Cricetulus griseus: one gene and its partners. The protein of the gene in region 1 interacts with the protein of each later gene in a pairwise test. Links are inferred from orthologs where the notes say so. Each region holds a gene or a part of one and is shown in the gene's direction. Other genes may lie near its edges.

Region 1 (3,500 bases):
CTGCCAGACGCTCAACCCATGTTCTTAGACTCTGGCCGTTTTGCACGCTCCCTTAGTAAAAAGAAGGCAGGGTGGCATCAGAACCTCACATACCTCAGCTGCTCATCTGGTTAGCAAGCAGTGCTCTGTAGCTGATTGACAGGATGAATACATCAACAACTGTGTGATGTCACTGTCACCTCACCTTCTGTGACAGCAGCCACCTCCAGGGACCTCACCTGGACCTACTGGGGATAGTGAGGCTTTCTTTTCTTTTCTTTTTTTCCGAGATAGGGTTTCTCTGTGGCTTTGGAGGCTGTCCTGGAACAACTAGCTCTTGTAGACCAGGCTGGTCTCAAACTCACAGAGATCCACCTGCCTCTGCCTCCCTAGTGCTGGGATTAAAGGTGTGCGCTACCAACACCCGGCTGAGGCTTTGTTTTCTTATAGGACCAACCTGTCAGTTACCTGAGCCATGGGCCAGTGAGGACTTGGGGTGTACCCTGCTGCTCACTACCTTGCCATTGCCAGTATGAAAGGATTTTAGAACTTGGGGCACGACCACTCAGGCAGGTGGCAGGTGAATGCTGGGAATGCTATAATATCAGGGTCTGGCTGCCATTCAGTCAGATTCCCTTTCAACACAGCTTGTTCCCGTAAGACCAGGACAAAGACATTCTCTCTACTCTGGGCTCACTGTCTGCCCTGACTGCCAGTATGGTGTGAGGATGTCTCTGCATGCAGTGAGAGGGTGCCAGAGGGAGATGGACACAGCTCTCGGGTCTGTGTATGTTCACATGTGAAATCATAGGACAACTTGCAGGGGTCAGTTCTCTCCTGCACTGTGGGAGTCAGTTACCCTGAAGCCATGCGGCTTGGTGGCAAGTGCCTTTACCCATTGAGCCATCTCACTGGACCAGAGTTTTACTTTATGGGGCAATTCAAGTGAGCTATACAATTGCCCCTCTGGGTCTTAGAGCGAAGTGAGTTCATACCAGAACTCTGCACTTACCCTCCAGTGATCTAGGAACATCACTACCCCTCACTCCCTGCTGCCGCCCCCCCCCCCCCCGTTAGCTGGTAAAGCTGTGTCATGTCCTTGGCTCCACCAGACTTGTGTGCTCTCTGCTTGCCTTGGCATCAGCCACTGAGGACACCCTCCCTACAGTGTACTTACCACACATTTCTTCTCCTTATAGGTATCCGCCCTCAGATCATGAACGGCCCCCTGCATCCCCGCCCCCTAGTGGCACTGCTCGACGGCAGAGACTGTACCGTGGAAATGCCCATCCTGAAGGATCTGGCCACTGTGGCCTTCTGTGATGCACAGTCTACTCAGGAAATCCATGAAAAGGTGGGTTGCACCCCACCTTACCTGGGCCCCTCCAGGCCAGCTGATGTCAGTAAGCACAGTAGTCACACACAGGAATGCCTAAAGTGTATGGAATTCCCGATGTCCTTAGCCTACTCTGCCACCCTCAGGCACTTACTCCATGTCTCCATCCTATAATTTCTGCTAACAAAGTCTCAGAGCCTTGTGTTCCCAGGGGTTCTGACCTGTGACTCATGTCCCTGCCCACAGGTGTTGAATGAGGCTGTGGGTGCCATGATGTACCACACTATCACCCTCACCAGGGAAGACCTGGAGAAGTTCAAGGCTCTTCGTGTGATCGTGAGAATTGGCAGTGGCTATGACAACGTGGACATCAAGGCTGCTGGTGAGCTCGGTGAGTCGAAAGGCCATGCTGGCTGCCTGGAGGCCACACTCAGTAATGGGCAGAACGCAGAAGGCAGGGCAGTTGTCCTAGGGAGTCTTGTTTCCATTTTCCCATGCACCTTTGCCCAGCCTCAGCTCGAAGCAGGTTCAGGGGCTGGAAGATCTTGAGATAAGCAGTAGATTAGTGAGTTCTTCATTGAGCACACCAAAAGAAGCTGGCCACCACCTGCTGTCCATTCCCAGGGTGCTTCTCAGAGAAAACCACAGGCGGGTAGAAAGCTAAGCAGGAAGGTAGAGTACCTGAGTGGCACAGGGGACTCCTGCCCACACCCCCATGAGAATTGGTGTACACTGGCAGCAGAGCCTGGGGGGGTCAGTGGGGAGTGCCTCAGAGCCACGTATTTTGTCTGAATAAAGTGTGCCGCCTCTTTATTCATGAGCCTCATGCATTTGAAATACCTCAGAATAACTAGAAACCCATGTACCGATGGTGCCACAGCAGCCTGAGCATAGTAATGCTCGTACCATCAGCCTGGGCCTACCACCTGCTGCTGCCTCACCCCAAGGGCTCCTGGAACTAACTCCTAGGACAGCAAAGCCAGGTGTGCGCAGTGCCTCACAGTCATCTCTGCACCGGGCCTAACGCTAGACTCGACAGCTCTGTCTATAACCCAGACACACCCGCCATGCTGGCCACTGAAGCAGCACTGGATCCAACTTCCCTTCACAGTCTGAGCCTGCAGCTTTGAGAGGGGTGGGTGCCTGTTTTTAGTTTTCTGTTTCTTTGCATTTAGAGCAGCAGTTACTATGAGCCTGAACCCCAGGATAAGAAAAGGACAAAGGAAGCTGTGCCGGGTGGCACCAGCCAATGCCCACAGTATGTCTGTGGGGCAACCTCACAGGGGAAGGTAGACATCTCATGTAAAGCAGAATCAGTCCTATTCAGCCCGGGCTTTTGAGAGTCCTGGGTAATCATGGCTTCCTATGTCCCTACCCTAAGCAGCCTTGTTCTTTTCCAGTTACAGCCCCTCTGAGCCCCTCTTTGGCAACAGAAGAAACTTGTTGTGATTGATGTGAGGCCACGTACCTGAGTTTAATTGAGAAAACTACCTGGTGCGGTGTTATACACCTGTTATCCAGGGAGGTCTCTTGAGTTTGAGGCCACCCTGGTCTGCATAGCAAGTTTGAGCCTAGCCTTAGCTACTTAGACCCTGTCTCAGAAAAAGAAAGAAAAGAAAAAAGATGTTTCCCAGACACGAGCAAGTATGCTTGTGTTTAAAAATATGTATCTGAGCCTGAAGGAAGTGGCCACACACCTTTAATCTCAGTACTCTGGGAGGCAGAGGCAGGTAGATCTCTGAGTTCAAGGCCAGCTTGGCCAATGGAGTTAATTCCAGGCCAGGGCTGTTACATAGAGAAACCCTGTCTAGAAAAAAAGCAAACAAAAGACGTGTGTCTGTCAGGAATAGAGATAAATTCCCTGAGTTGGGACTATGCAGGAAGACATTCAGCTTTCTAGCCCATTGTCTCTCACACATAGTTCCTGTTGGTAGTCAGCCCCTCTTCTCCAGTCAGAGTCCAAGAAACAGACTGCCTAGGGCCAGAGCGTTGAAAAGTGTAAAGGGGACACGAAGTGTCACTATTGTGGCCCATTGTGATTGGAGTGGCTATTCAGAAGACTTCTGCTAATGAAATAGATGGTCCTCCAGCAGTGTCTGTCATTTAGCTCTAAGTACATATGGTGCCTATCAAGTCAGCCAGCAGACCCTTTGGAGAGTAGTAAGACGAGTGGCAGGTGTGCCCT
Region 2 (4,266 bases), on another chromosome or scaffold:
GGGAGCCACTGAGCAGCCTGAGAGCACCGGGACTGGGCTGCAGGAGGACCGAGCAGCGTTCCCACTGGGGCTTTCGCTGGAGAGACCATAGCAAGCCACCAGGCTGGGATCGGACCCCTCAAGGAACACGGTGCGGGTCGGGCCATTGGACAGGCTGGGCCGAACCCTGCGACCCGCGGGGGCCTTGGCAGGGAGTGCAATAAAGAAGAGCGGCCACAGAGAGCAGGACTGGAACTCCCCTGGTTTCAGCGCCACGGTGACACACGGGTGGAAATCCTGATGGAGGGATCGCTGACTTCCTTTGCTTGGGAAAATCGTCAGGAGCAACTCCGATTTGCCTCCTCTGAGCAGCGGAGGGGGGTCCATGACGTGGCAGTGGGAAAATAGACAACCGAAACCTCCCGCGTGAACTGCAAACTATAACCCAGGAAGGGGGAAGGACTGCTCTCTGCATTTTAATTTTACGCATAAGGTTCTGTGCGGTAAACTTATTTCCATGTCTTGTACCCACTTCAGCGGAACCAAGTGGGTCCTATCTTGGAACACCTTCATCATCCTGAAGAGCCCCAGGCAGCGGCCTGCCTCTCTGCTACCACATTCCCTGGACCGGATTCCTGTTTGGGTAACTCCATCTACCCTATAGAACTATAAACAGATATCTATTAATACTGGACCAGTTTCTGAAACCTAACTCTTACAACCTACCTGAGAGCTGGAATTTAGCCTAATACATCCGAAGAAATGGCATGTTGAGTCGCTTTTAGGATACCTCGGCTTCTTTTAAATTCCTGTAAAACAGGATCTGATAGGCTGACCAACATGACAGGTAAGAACTTTCTGTCTCTCTAGTGCTGTCACATAGAAGGCCAAGGCTGAGCAGGACCCAGCAAGGAGGAGAATCCAGGGACCCATGTGCCCTTTGAGGCTCGCCTGAGGGCTGCTTTCGCTAGAGGCGCAGCCCTGTCTCCTGGACCATCCACTGGGGAAGCTTCTGGGGCGCGCGCCAGGAGACTGCTTTGCGCTCCACCTGCCCTGCCCTGTACCCAACCCTGGGGCGAGGCATCTAGGGAGCATCTCAAGTCAATATTGGGATTTTTAATAAACCGAGGAATGGGATTTTAATTATTCAGAAACCCAGATCTTCTGGGTCAGCTGCTCTTGGGATGGTGCTGGTCACACAGTATTAAACGGAACGACCGTTGAGAGCACGAAAAAAGCGTCCGAGACATCCTTTGCAATTAGGAACAAACCAGACTTGGTAGCACAGGGCATTGATTGCTGGTGCCCATCCGGACCCTCCTCCTCTCTCCCTGGTCCTCCCCCCCACCCCACCGGAGGCAGGCTCCCGTGGCTGGGCCAGGACCTAGCGTCCTTGCATCGTGGCCTGGACTGCATATTTCATGAACCCGGAGTGAACAGGTGCGAAGTGCGCTGGGAGCATCCGGCCCGCGACATCACCGGGGAACATGGAGAGCGAGCGCGACATGTACCGCCAGTTCCAGGACTGGTGCCTTAGGACTTACGGGGACTCAGGCAAGACCAAGACGGTGACCCGTAAGAAATACGAGAGGATCGTCCAGCTACTCAACGGCTCCGAGTCAAGCTCTACCGACAATGCCAAATTTAAATTCTGGGTCAAATCGAAGGGTTTCCAGCTGGGCCAGCCTGATGAGGTCCACGGGGGAGGCGGCGGCGCCAAGCAAGTGCTCTTCGTGCGGGTCAAGACCACGGTGAGCCGCCTTCTCTGTTATTTGTCTGACGAAGCAGCCCGGAAGGGAGGGCGGAGAGAGGGGAAGGCAGGGAGAATGCTGGAGCCACTGTTGGCTCCTAGCCCCCACCCCTTCCTCAACCCCCTCCCGAGTCTTCCCTAGACGCAGTGGCCGGGCGTGATTTCCCTTCTAGAAAGTCTTTGTGGTCCTTTATTTTAAAGCAACAGCGAACCTTCAGAGCTGGCGGCCCTGCCTGCCTTGGGGCTGAGCTGTGGGACGGTAGCTGGAGCTTGCCTTCACCGCGTCTGGCTGCGCCTGGTGTTCCCCTGGCCAGGCCATTGTCCCATGCCCTTCGCTGGGAGGCTGGCGAGTGTCCTACCTCCGTCAGGGAGCATAAAGGCCAGGCTGGAAGCCCAGCCACACGCTCTGATAAGGCGATGCTGATGGATAGATGGGCTACTGTGTCTCCTCATTGGCACAAAGCCCGAATGTGGCGGTTGAGGTGGTTTGGGGGCTTTCCCCAAGACATTATCGAGTTTTGTTGTGAGACCACCAGCGGGGAAGACACAGGACTGTCTGCGCGCCTCGGTCGCCCCCTGAGATCCTAGCCAGGAGTGTTTGGTTGGCAGATAAGGTCCTGGACATTCCTCCTCCCCGCCCCCCATCCCCTTCTTCACTTGCACCACCGAAGCTTCCTCAGTTAGGCGATGCACAACAAAGAGAGACGGGGTTGGGCGCGATCAAATGCTGTATTTGTTCCTCTTTCTGGGTTTGTTCTGGTTTCTTAGCCATAAAGCTGTAGTGAACGAGGAACCGGCTGTGAGACTGGTATGTCTCATCCTAAAACGCAGATGCCTGTGGGGCTGGGAGGTTGCAGCTGCATCCGCTTCCTTTGCAAGATGGGAACACGGGGCTACAAGTAAGATCTCAGGTTAGATGTATTAACACCTAGCTGCCTCATAATGGGTACTCACCTAGAGTGGGGGTGGAGGATCTATCTGGCACCCTTTGTATTTTTGTATCGCTTTGGGATTCGTTGAGCTTTGCTCCTGCCCCCCACCCCACCCCCCTTTTTAACTGGCGACTGTTTCCCAGTGCACAGCCCCCTGAGGATGTTAGCAAAGGAGGCTTCTGGAGAAGTCTCTGCTTTCTCTGAGGTACATGAAGGGCTCTAACAAGTTCCGTCTGGAGGACTCTCTCAGGTTTGGAAAAAGCCTTTGGCTTCCCAAGATTAATTGGGAAAGGTGGCTTGAAGGATGGAGGTTGCTTTTGGAATTTATATGGGAAATCTGAAAACAAAGATGAACTGGAAACACAGAAAAGTTTTTTTTCTTCTTCTCGAGGTTCAGTTATTGAAAGGTTTGCAGGAAGTAGAGGTAAATGTCGCATTTGTTTTCTCCTGTAGCACAGAACTAGGTTAAAGACAATGGTGAGGCATTAGCTTGCCTGGCTAGATGAAAATGACCAGTTTGGCATCATTTAGAGTAAGGGTGCTTTACATCTGTGTGAGCCAGAAGAGGAATTGCTTTGTTTCACTTGGATGGGGACCAATATAAAGAGTGGACAGGAAAAATAATTTATTGATAAGCAAAGTGAATTATAATTCTAGCTGATGGAGTAAAATATTGTTATATATTTTTAAAATACTGTTTAACATGGTCATACATAAATACTGTAGGTTATATTATATTTCATTGCTAACCAGAAAGTTTTTCAGTTTTTCATTCTTTTTTTGTGTTAAATTTAGATTCTCTGTTGGGTTCCAGTGAGTTCATGCTTGCTTAGATTTGATTATAACTATTATATGTGTTTTTATGTGTCCCTTTGAAGAGTATTTAAATTCTAAATAACAAATTTTATAAAGTTGCAAGGCACCAAGATAATCGTGGGTATGAGTCATTCAAACCAGCATTCACATGCTGTGACACCCATATTTTCATGTCAAAAAAATAAATGTGGGGCTGCCAGAGAATCACTGCTAAGACATCTAATAGAGAGTGACAGCTGCAGGGATAATAACGTAGCACGTGTTTCTCTTTTCAGTAAAGATTCCATATATTAATGAGAGACAATGTGATCTGCCAGGTGATATTGTGAAATGATTTCCGTGTAGTATTTAAAGCACTCTGTGTTCCATTCAAGCCTATTTTGAAATGTTGAATAGGATTTTAATTCATGAGCTCTTCTACTGTTCTTTATGAAACATATTCTGCTGCTCCTGTCACAGAACTATAAGCTCCACCTTCTCTCTGAGACAGCCAATCACAGTTTCAATCAGTTCAAAATAAATAAAACATCCCTTTATCCTCTTCCCCAATGTCTGAATGCTTTTGCCCCCACCAAAAAAAAAAAATTCATTTGTCTTCATCATGGCATGGTGCAATCTCCAAAAGGACAGAAATGTGTTTTCTTCTCATTCAGAGAGTGTATATTGCATACATTGGTTGAAATGGGGAACTGCCTGTAAATGGTGTTTTCAAGTAGACAGAGAGTTGTTCTGAGCTCCCTGGGGTCTGAGGGACATTAGCTAGCCTTTCTTTTGGTGAGATATGCTTTG
Region 3 (4,218 bases), on another chromosome or scaffold:
GGTAAGGCTGACATTCTCCGTGCATGCAGAAAGACCTAGTCTGCCAGCTTTTTTTCTTCCTAATGAAGCAGCTTTGTGAAATCTCCCCATGTGTTAATACTAATGAAGATCCTCCAGCACAATTAAAATCACAGCCAGTGGTTGAGGAGGAAACATAAAACAATAGCATCTTTTAAGATACATCTAGCCACATTATGTATGCATAAAATAATATATGGTCAAATATTCTCCAATAACTAAATTTTTACTTGGTCTTCATCCTGAAAACCAAATTACCTAATTTGTAACTATATAAACTTCAAGACTTTATTGTGTTCTAAAGGGAGAAAAACACCTTAATGAATATTTTTTTTAAATTACCTTTCTTCCTGGGTAATAAAGTGTACAATGGTTATGAATTTTTCTACCTTTTTTTTAAAAAATAGTTTTTTAGGAGGCCGCGGGTACACTGTTGAAGGGAACAGGCTGCACTTTACCTTTAGTTTAACTTGATTGGTTGAAGGGAATTGGGGAGTGGAAGGGTAAAAACTGAGTCAGCTGCCTGAAATTCTGGGGATCAGATAGTACACAGCGTGTTTAGTTGGTAATGGGCAACTGGTCTTTTAAAGTGTTTTTAGTTCTTACATTTAAACTAGTCCGTCCCCCCCCCCACCCCAACGGAAACTAGAAAAAAATTGAGACTGTGGCTTACAATTTATACCAGTAACTGCAAAAGGACTTAGTTTAAACGTCTTTAATTTGAATCTTAATCTTGACTCAAACCATGAACATTACAACCAGTTTAACTCCATGGAAAAGCAGTGGTATACCTTGCCTTGCGCCCTGCTTTTTGAGTCCTAGCATGCACAAATTCTTGGCACATTAATTTAGCTTGTTGGCTCCAACACAATTTCTAGTTTACAAACATAAAAGTTGGTGAAGATTGCTAATCTATGTTCCTTAATAGTCTTTACGTTTTTTTAAAAAATTAAATATTCAGTTCTGCCCCCTCCCCCTTTGAAAAGCAAAACAAAACATTTAAGTTTCTTAACTTTTTCCTGGGACGAGGAGCGGTGCAAACTCACATATACAGTATTCTTGGAATGAAGAAGCAGCCCCCTCCCCTGGATCCTTTTAGAGCTGATAGGTCATTTATTATTGGAACTGAAATGGTATAAACAATTCTCTCGCTCTTTTTCCCCTTGTTAACAGCAACTTTCATTGTTAGAGAGAGGAGAGAGAGAGAAGCCTTGTTGGTTGACGTCACTTGGTTCATGAAGCCTTCGCCTAGAAGTGAAGCTGCTGAACAAACCTTGAGAAGAATCATCTCCTGCTTCAATCTGCTGCTGGATAGGAACTAATCAGAGAGAGAGCGGCGGAAGACGGGGACGGAGGGAGCCAGGGCTTTCGCGATCACGGATCTCACCTCCACTCCAACTCCCTAGACTTTCTTGTAGAAATTATAAGAGAAATAAGGAGGCGGTGGGGATTCCGAAAAGCTTAACCTGCACCCGGGAAGGGCGAAAATCCCTTCCACCGCAACTCAGTTCGAAAGTGAAGGTGAGTTTGAGAGCCAGGGTGCAGGGGTGCGGGAGAGGTGGGATCCGGGCGGAGAGCGGCGGCTGCGGGCTGGAGCCCTCCCGAGGCGCCCGTCGCTGTTTACCGCGCCGCCTGGTGTGTCTCTTTGTTGTGCGGGCAGCGACGCCGCGATGGCTCTGGGGTCCTGAGTAGAGTTCCGGGCGGAGGGCGCAGGGACCTGGTCCCGGGCGGGGTGGGGGTGCGGGCTCGGCGGAACGGAAACTTTGCTGGGAGTGCGGGCGGGGATCGGGCGGCCGGGCCTCGTCCCTCCATTGTGCCGGCCGCCCTCGCCGCCGGCCTCGCGGCGTTCTCCTGCCCGGCCCGCTGCGGCGCCCCGCGGGGCAGTTGGCGAGGCCCCGGCCCTGCCCGCCTCCGTCCCCGGTCCGCAGCCTCGCGCCCGCGCCGCCGACCCTCGCCAGGCCGCCGGGTCTCCAGAGCCGGGGGGGTGGGGCTGCGGCCCGGCGCCGGGTACCTGGCACACCGGGTCGAGCGGGCTCCCCGCTTCCCGGGTCCCCGGCGGCCTGGCCAGCAGGTCCCGTCGTGGCGGGCTGGGCTCCCTGCCCTCGGTCTCCGCGCCCTCCCCCGCGACGTCCCGCTCCCCTCCCCTAAAGTAGTTCGGCGAACCCCAGAATTGGGATCTGGAAAGGCTGGGAAGTGTGCGGAGACTCGGAGCCGGCCCTGGGGGTGGGGGCTGGCTCCTCTGCCCCTTTCTCCCCTCAGTATTTATCTTTTGTGTGTTGTTTCCTTGTAAAGAGAGAAGCAGCTGCAGTCCGTGGCCGAGTTGTTGAAATTTATCCCTTTGTGTATATTACAATATCCTCCATTTTTCCCCCTGTCCTCTAAACAACAAGCGTTTCGCCATCTTGGGCAATTTTTATTCCCAAGTCTGTCTCTCTCTCTTTTAATTTTTAAGGAAGGGAAAGAAGCTATAGAAATGCAAAAAGTGTGTCTGGATAAGGCTCAAAGTTTAGGAACGGTTCAGGGGGCCATGTGACGTCATGTAAACTTTACCAGGAAAATTTCCCCAAAGTGTGTGTGTGTGTGTGTGTGTGTGTGTGTGTGTGTGTGTGTGTGTGTGTGTGTGTGTTTTGTGTTTTCCTCAAAATGTTCTCGTTTTATGGAATCGTGTTAGTTACTGTGTAAGTCTACCGATAAGTTAAGGGTTTATTTTTATTTTTTATTTTGCATTCAGAACGAATCGCAAAATCCGCACATTTAATGTTTGGTAGCAATAGGAAGATTATTTTAAAAAATTATCGAAACTTTTATTGTGCCACTTAGTATTCACCTAGTTTTGTGTATTCAGTTTTTATTCTTCAAATTTTCAAATGTATTTGTAAGAATATATTTCCTTTCTTATGTGGTTCCATAGAGTTAACAAATTTAGCTTAGTTAATATTTACATATCTTAGGTTATGTACCTTTCCTTTTGTAATTGTGGTCTAGTCTTTCGTGGGGTTTTTTTGTTTTGTTTTGTTTTGTTTTTTTTACATTTTAGAAGAACTATTCAGAATATCATGAGATTCTTGATGCTTTTACGTTTTAGTAGTAAATATTGAAGTCAAAAAGTTGGCAGAAAAACGTAGTTTAGCATATAAAAGGCAGAATTAACTTTAAAAGATAATTTTGCAACCTTTTGCTGTAAACTATCAACCATCATAAAAATAATGATAAAAAGTCTATTAAAATTGGTCTAAAGTAGTTTTTCACCTTACAAAAAAAAGTTGAGCTGGTCACATGACCACACTTAATGATACACTCACTGACGAGTATATAAATAGGCACAGTAAATTGAATGGGAAAGCGTAATTCTGTCTCCAGTAGTCATTTTCAGTCAGCATATTTACATCTCTTCTAACAAGGACATGAAACTGTCTGTCTTTAATTTGCATTCCCTTTGTCTTCTGTGTTGGGGAAAAACATTGACTACAATGAACTTAAAAAAAAAGCTAATAGAAAAAATTCTAAATACATTAAGATTTTCTAATATATGAAGACTTACATTGTAAATGGTATGTTTTTTAAAATTTCTGTAACAATATCCTTTGCTGTTTTCTGTTACTTATCCAGAAATTTGTTGAATGTAAAATGTTACATAGAAATCTTTACTGAATTGAATGTCTGCTATTTAGTGAATTGTAGGTAGGTGAAAAATGTTTAAATAGTTAAAAGCACATAGAACAGATGGTTCTAAATTATACATGCAACAAAGGACCAGAAGATTTGGCAGATTATAAATGGAAGCAACAGAGGATAAGCAGTTTAAGAAAATGGTAGTTAAGTACGGTGATGTCTCACACCTATTGTAAACACTGTGCACAATCAATAATTTAGATGACATTATGCTTTTGTGTGTTTCAGTAGAAAAGTAAGATTTTACAAATATTTGAAGCAAATGTTGAATGTAAAATTTTTTAAGCTATGGTGACAAAGAATTTTCTTTTAGGATATTAGATTGTATGTTTTTAAAACAGGAATTTGTTTATAAGAACTTAATATGGTCATATAATGGTTTACAGAGAAATAGGAATAGGTAAATATTTTTAAATCTAGATAATAGTATCTGTACTAATGTGGGTTAAACTAATAACATTGACTATGTTAACCTGTGCATTCTCTTTATACTAGTGAAAACAGTATCTTAGCTGCTCAATCTTGGGA
Region 4 (4,218 bases), on another chromosome or scaffold:
GGGAAAAAGCGCCTCTCGCAGCCGCTCCGAGCTGGCGGCCCCCGTGCACCTGGCGGCCGACACCACAGGCCGGAGGCGGCGCGGCGCGGCGCGTCCCCGGGACGCGGCCCAAGCGAGCACCGCAGGAGGGCCAGACCCAGCCGCCCCAGGCCGGCCCCGGCCAGCTGCGGCCCCGCGCGCACTGCCTCCCCGGGACACCTGCCCCGTGTAAAAGTACACTCGAGGCCGTCGCGGTGCACGCAGACTCACTCTCTCACTCCACACCCCCAGAACGCGCTCGTCTCCAGCCTGGAAACAGGCCCCTCCCCGCGCAGCTGTCGCCGCCGCCTGCGGGCTCCTTTCACTTTCTCACGGCCAAGTCACCCAGAGGGGCGCCGCTGCCGCCGCCGCCGCCAGCGCCAGCGCCGCCGCCGCCGCCGCGGCCCGCGGACTCCGCCTCCCCCTCGAAGAGGCCACGCCCACCCAACAGTCGCCCCCTGCGATTGGCGCGCGCGGGCGGCAGCTCCTACCCGCCACTGCCATTGGCCGAGCTTCCCCGTCAGTCCCGCCGCCCCTCCGCCCACCCCGTCACGCCGCTCTTCTATTGGGCAACGCTGCGACCGAGGGCGGGCCAGCGACCGGGGCCCGCCGCTTTCGCTCAATCGCCGAGCGGCCGGCGCGGGGCGGCCCGGCCGGGCGGGGCCACATCTGGGCCGCGCGCCGCGGCGTGCGTGCGTGTGCGTCGTCCGCCCGCCCCGCCCGCCGCCGGCCCGGCGCCGCGCTCGCCCGCCCGCCGCGCCCGCCGCCCGCCCGCCGCCCGCTCCGCGCCCGTACGTCTGGCAGGCTGCGGCCGCGCTGGGGCTGCCTGATGGCCGTTAAAGAGTGGCCCGTGGCTCGGCGGCGCGCCTCAGGCTGCCACGCGGGCGGGGGCGGCGGGGGCGCGCGGGCCCGGGCCGGGGCCGGCGGCGGGCGGGGGCCGGCGGAGGACGCCCACAAGTCCAGCGGCGGCGGCAGAGGAGGAGGAGGAGGAGGACGGCGGCGGGGACGCGGCGACTCGGCCGCTCCGTGTGAGTCCCCGCCCCGCCCTGCCCCGCTGCCGGCCGTGGGTCCCGCCGGGGGAGTTAGTTAGTGCGGCGGAGGGGGCGGCGGCGGTGCGGTGCGGTGCGGTGCGGGCTCGCCTCGCCTCGCCTCGCCTGGCCGCGCTCCCCGGCAGCTGCGGCGCGGGGCGGCCGGTGCACTGCGGCGGCGCCTCCCGTGCGGAGGGCGGCGGGCGGGCGGGCGAGCGGGCGGGGAGGGGTCCGGGCCGCCGCAGCTGCAGCGCCCGGGACGGCCGCGGCTCCGGGGCCGGTGCAGCTGCAGGGCCGGGGGGGAGGGCGCGGCGCCCGGGTTGCGGTTGCCGGGAGGCCCGGGGCTGGCGCGCGGCGGCGGCGGCGGCGGGGAGCGGTCGCCGCGCCGCTTCTTGCGACTTTTCTTTTGTTGTTGCCGCGACCCGGGGCTGTTTTCTCGGCCGTTGTGGAAGGTGTTTTCCTGCTGCACCGGCTCTCTGCCCTGCACCTCCTTCCCAGTGGTTTCACCCTTCCTCTTTCCCCAAGTGCTTTATGCACGGCGAACTGCGCGAAGATTTGCATCCCCCCCCTCCACCCCAAAACCTCAAACACACCCGGGGCACCCTGCCCCCACCTCTGAGAAACAAAACCCCAAACCTCACAGAGCCCCCGCGGGTCCGCGGTAGCGAGACTTGGACGGGATGTCTCCGGGCCATTGCGGTCCTTGGGGCTCATTAAACTGTCACTCACCCCCACCATCACCCCAGTGAGTAAACGGGGTGATTAACGTCGGATATATTGGAATGGGGCGAGGGCATCCGCGGAGAAGAGGGTGTGTGTAGCAGGGAAGTAATGTGTCTGCCCAGTGTGCCTCCAGAACGAGTTCAGAATTATGTCATTCACCGCGAAGTTAGAGAAAGTTAGGTTTCTTAGTGACTCGTGAGCGAGGGCAGGACAGAGTTGGGGTTTTGTTCTCTAGCTCCCTGCCTCCGTTTTCTAAGGCGAGCCTAAGAGTGGCTGTCGCCCGGGTTGGGACGTTTGCGCCTCAGGCCCCAGTTTCTTTTTTCTACTCCTCGACCTCCCAAGAGTCTGTAGAGATAGATGTGTCTGACATTCATAGTTGTCGCAGCACCTTGCAGGGAACCGGGCGGCCCAGCCCGGGTTACCTTAGCATTTCATCAGCCATTAGAAACTAAGACCCACAAACTCCAGCCAAGAAAGTTCCCAAAGTCTACACTCCTGCTGATCACAACCCTTTAGCCCAAAGGGATAGGGAAGAAGGGCAAGACAAAGTGACGCCTTTTTCTGAGCAGAAACATGAGATGTGGCCAAACAGTCATCCTAAGTGACTGCAGCAGGTTGTGTCGGTTTATTAATTTGCCTTTATTGAACCGAAATACTTTCCAGGATTTCACAAAGTGCAGTTTCAGTTTGTTGACGCTGAGAATGGAAATCTGCATTCACGGTGGCAGTGTGAATTATTTTCCTGGGAGGTAGTTGCAGATAAGTTGCTAAGTAAGAGTGAAATAATAAGGTGAACCACGCTGAAGTAATAGCTCTTAATAAGTCTGCCAACATTTTGGAGATGTCTACCATTATCTCCGCGGGGGGAGGAAAAAAAAAAACATGCTGTAATAATGCCGAAGTGGGGCTGGAGATGTCAAATGGGTTGGTTTAAAAATATCCCTAAGCTGCCTTTGAAACTAGACGTTGGAGTTGAATAAAAGTGAATGTGGGTTTCCTGAATAGCACCGAGCCTGAGTGTGCTGTCATATGTAAGCCAGTCCACCAACTTGAGGCAGAAGTGTTGCGATTCCATAAATACAGTAGGACTCCATATGCTGAGTTTTTCAATTTCTTCTGTTAGAAAGTTTGGGGGGAAAAAAAGGAAGACTTTGAAGTATTTTGTTTATACTAACAGAAGAGAAAAGTTCTCCTAAGAAAAAGCTGGTGGCAGGAGTGTAGAGGAGTAGCATATGGCATTAAAGGAGCACAGCTGGAGGTAGCATTTCCATCTGAACATGATGTCAGAGCAGCTGACAGCCTGCCATCCCTCAGCCTTTTATTCTAACACACAGACAGGGAGCTAGTGTGTGCGGATCTGTGGTGGAGAAGGTATCTCATTCCTCTCCAACATCATCTCCACTTTGCATCTGTCTCTCTTAGTCTGCTTTTTTTCCACCGATGTAACAGACCTGGAGCCAGCAAGACTCCGAGGGAAGGACTTAATCAAGTTTATGTGTCCTAAAGGTAGGAGTAGCAAGAGATTAGATTGAGCATCTTTCTGTTTGGGTGTTTTATTTAATTTTTTTAAAAAAACATCACATTACTTTTGTAATCCACTTTATGAATAATGTGTGAAATTGAGCATGAAGTGATGGTCTTGAGCTGGAAGTCTTGGGCTTGCTTGGTTTGAATTTTTATTTCTTTTCTTTGAGCAAGTAAATAACTTTAATACACAGAAATATTTCAAGTTTTCAGATGGTAAGAAAGGCTTTGGAATATGGCTTTTTGAGATCACTTTGGATTAAGATGCCTTTTGTTGTTCACTGCTGTTTAGATTCCTTTTGCTTTAGGGGGGCAGAAACAGTAAACTGTCTGGAATCCAGCTTTCAAACTTATATGAGAAGATTATTCTGGTTAAGAAGCTAGGTTGTTGTGTAATTAATTCCACTGTGAAACTTTATTCTCCAAAACATTCGGCAAGCATTACTGAAAGCAGCATACAGCTGTAGTGCTTTTGAAACCGGAGGGTTTTTGTTGTTGGGATTTTTTTGTTTTTGTTTTTTAAGAAGAGGGGAGAAGAAAAAGAAAGACAACTTTTATCCCTAGGAGAATAGTTTGACCAGTTTCCTCATTTCTCTTTCAGATATATATTTAAGAGATCTTTTATTTCAGCGTAACAATAATTATTTGCAGGAGTTTCTGCGTTAGCGACTAATTTAGAACTTGTAGATTCGAGCTGCCTGAATTGGCCAGACAGCTGTAATCGCACTCCTCTATTCTTAATCTCTTTATCTGGGCAGCAGCTGCCATATGGCCACAGTCAGCTGGATCAGATGTTTATAAGCTTCCTTCTTCGTCCCTCTCTGTCCTCTCAGCCTCCTAATTTGATCACGGCTACCTTGTGAGCTGGCCTCCAGTCTTTATTTTTAGCCCTCTCCAGGGTTGGGATTGATGTTAGCTGTGGGGC

What was found.
Region 2: the proteins of Ctbp2 (region 1) and nucleolar protein 4 interact in binary tests that used the Homo sapiens proteins (3 or more experiments, as listed by UniProt). The two-hybrid records come from large-scale screens. The link is inferred for Cricetulus griseus from reciprocal best matches to the Homo sapiens genes CTBP2 and NOL4.
Region 3: the proteins of Ctbp2 (region 1) and Baz2b interact in binary tests that used the Homo sapiens proteins (3 or more experiments, as listed by UniProt). The two-hybrid records come from large-scale screens. The link is inferred for Cricetulus griseus from reciprocal best matches to the Homo sapiens genes CTBP2 and BAZ2B.
Region 4: the proteins of Ctbp2 (region 1) and Zbtb18 interact in binary tests that used the Homo sapiens proteins (3 or more experiments, as listed by UniProt). The two-hybrid records come from large-scale screens. The link is inferred for Cricetulus griseus from reciprocal best matches to the Homo sapiens genes CTBP2 and ZBTB18.

Annotation. Positions count from the first base shown.
Region 1 is NC_048596.1:67,839,129-67,842,628, forward strand, and holds part of Ctbp2 (C-terminal-binding protein 2), read left to right. Parts: intron 1-1,178; coding exon 1,179-1,333; intron 1,334-1,561; coding exon 1,562-1,706; intron 1,707-3,500. UniProt on the Homo sapiens protein: Corepressor targeting diverse transcription regulators. Functions in brown adipose tissue (BAT) differentiation. Isoform 2 probably acts as a scaffold for specialized synapses.
Region 2 is NC_048595.1:214,073,951-214,078,216, forward strand, and holds the start of nucleolar protein 4, read left to right. Parts: upstream 1-1,466; coding exon 1,467-1,730; intron 1,731-4,266.
Region 3 is NC_048599.1:114,750,975-114,755,192, forward strand, and holds the start of Baz2b (bromodomain adjacent to zinc finger domain protein 2B), read left to right. Parts: upstream 1-1,418; 5' UTR 1,419-1,539; intron 1,540-4,218. UniProt on the Homo sapiens protein: Regulatory subunit of the ATP-dependent BRF-1 and BRF-5 ISWI chromatin remodeling complexes, which form ordered nucleosome arrays on chromatin and facilitate access to DNA during DNA-templated processes such as DNA replication, transcription, and repair.
Region 4 is NC_048598.1:16,377,965-16,382,182, reverse strand, and holds the start of Zbtb18 (zinc finger and BTB domain-containing protein 18), read left to right. Parts: upstream 1-1,418; 5' UTR 1,419-3,262; coding exon 3,263-3,275; intron 3,276-3,288; exon of another isoform or gene 3,289-4,218.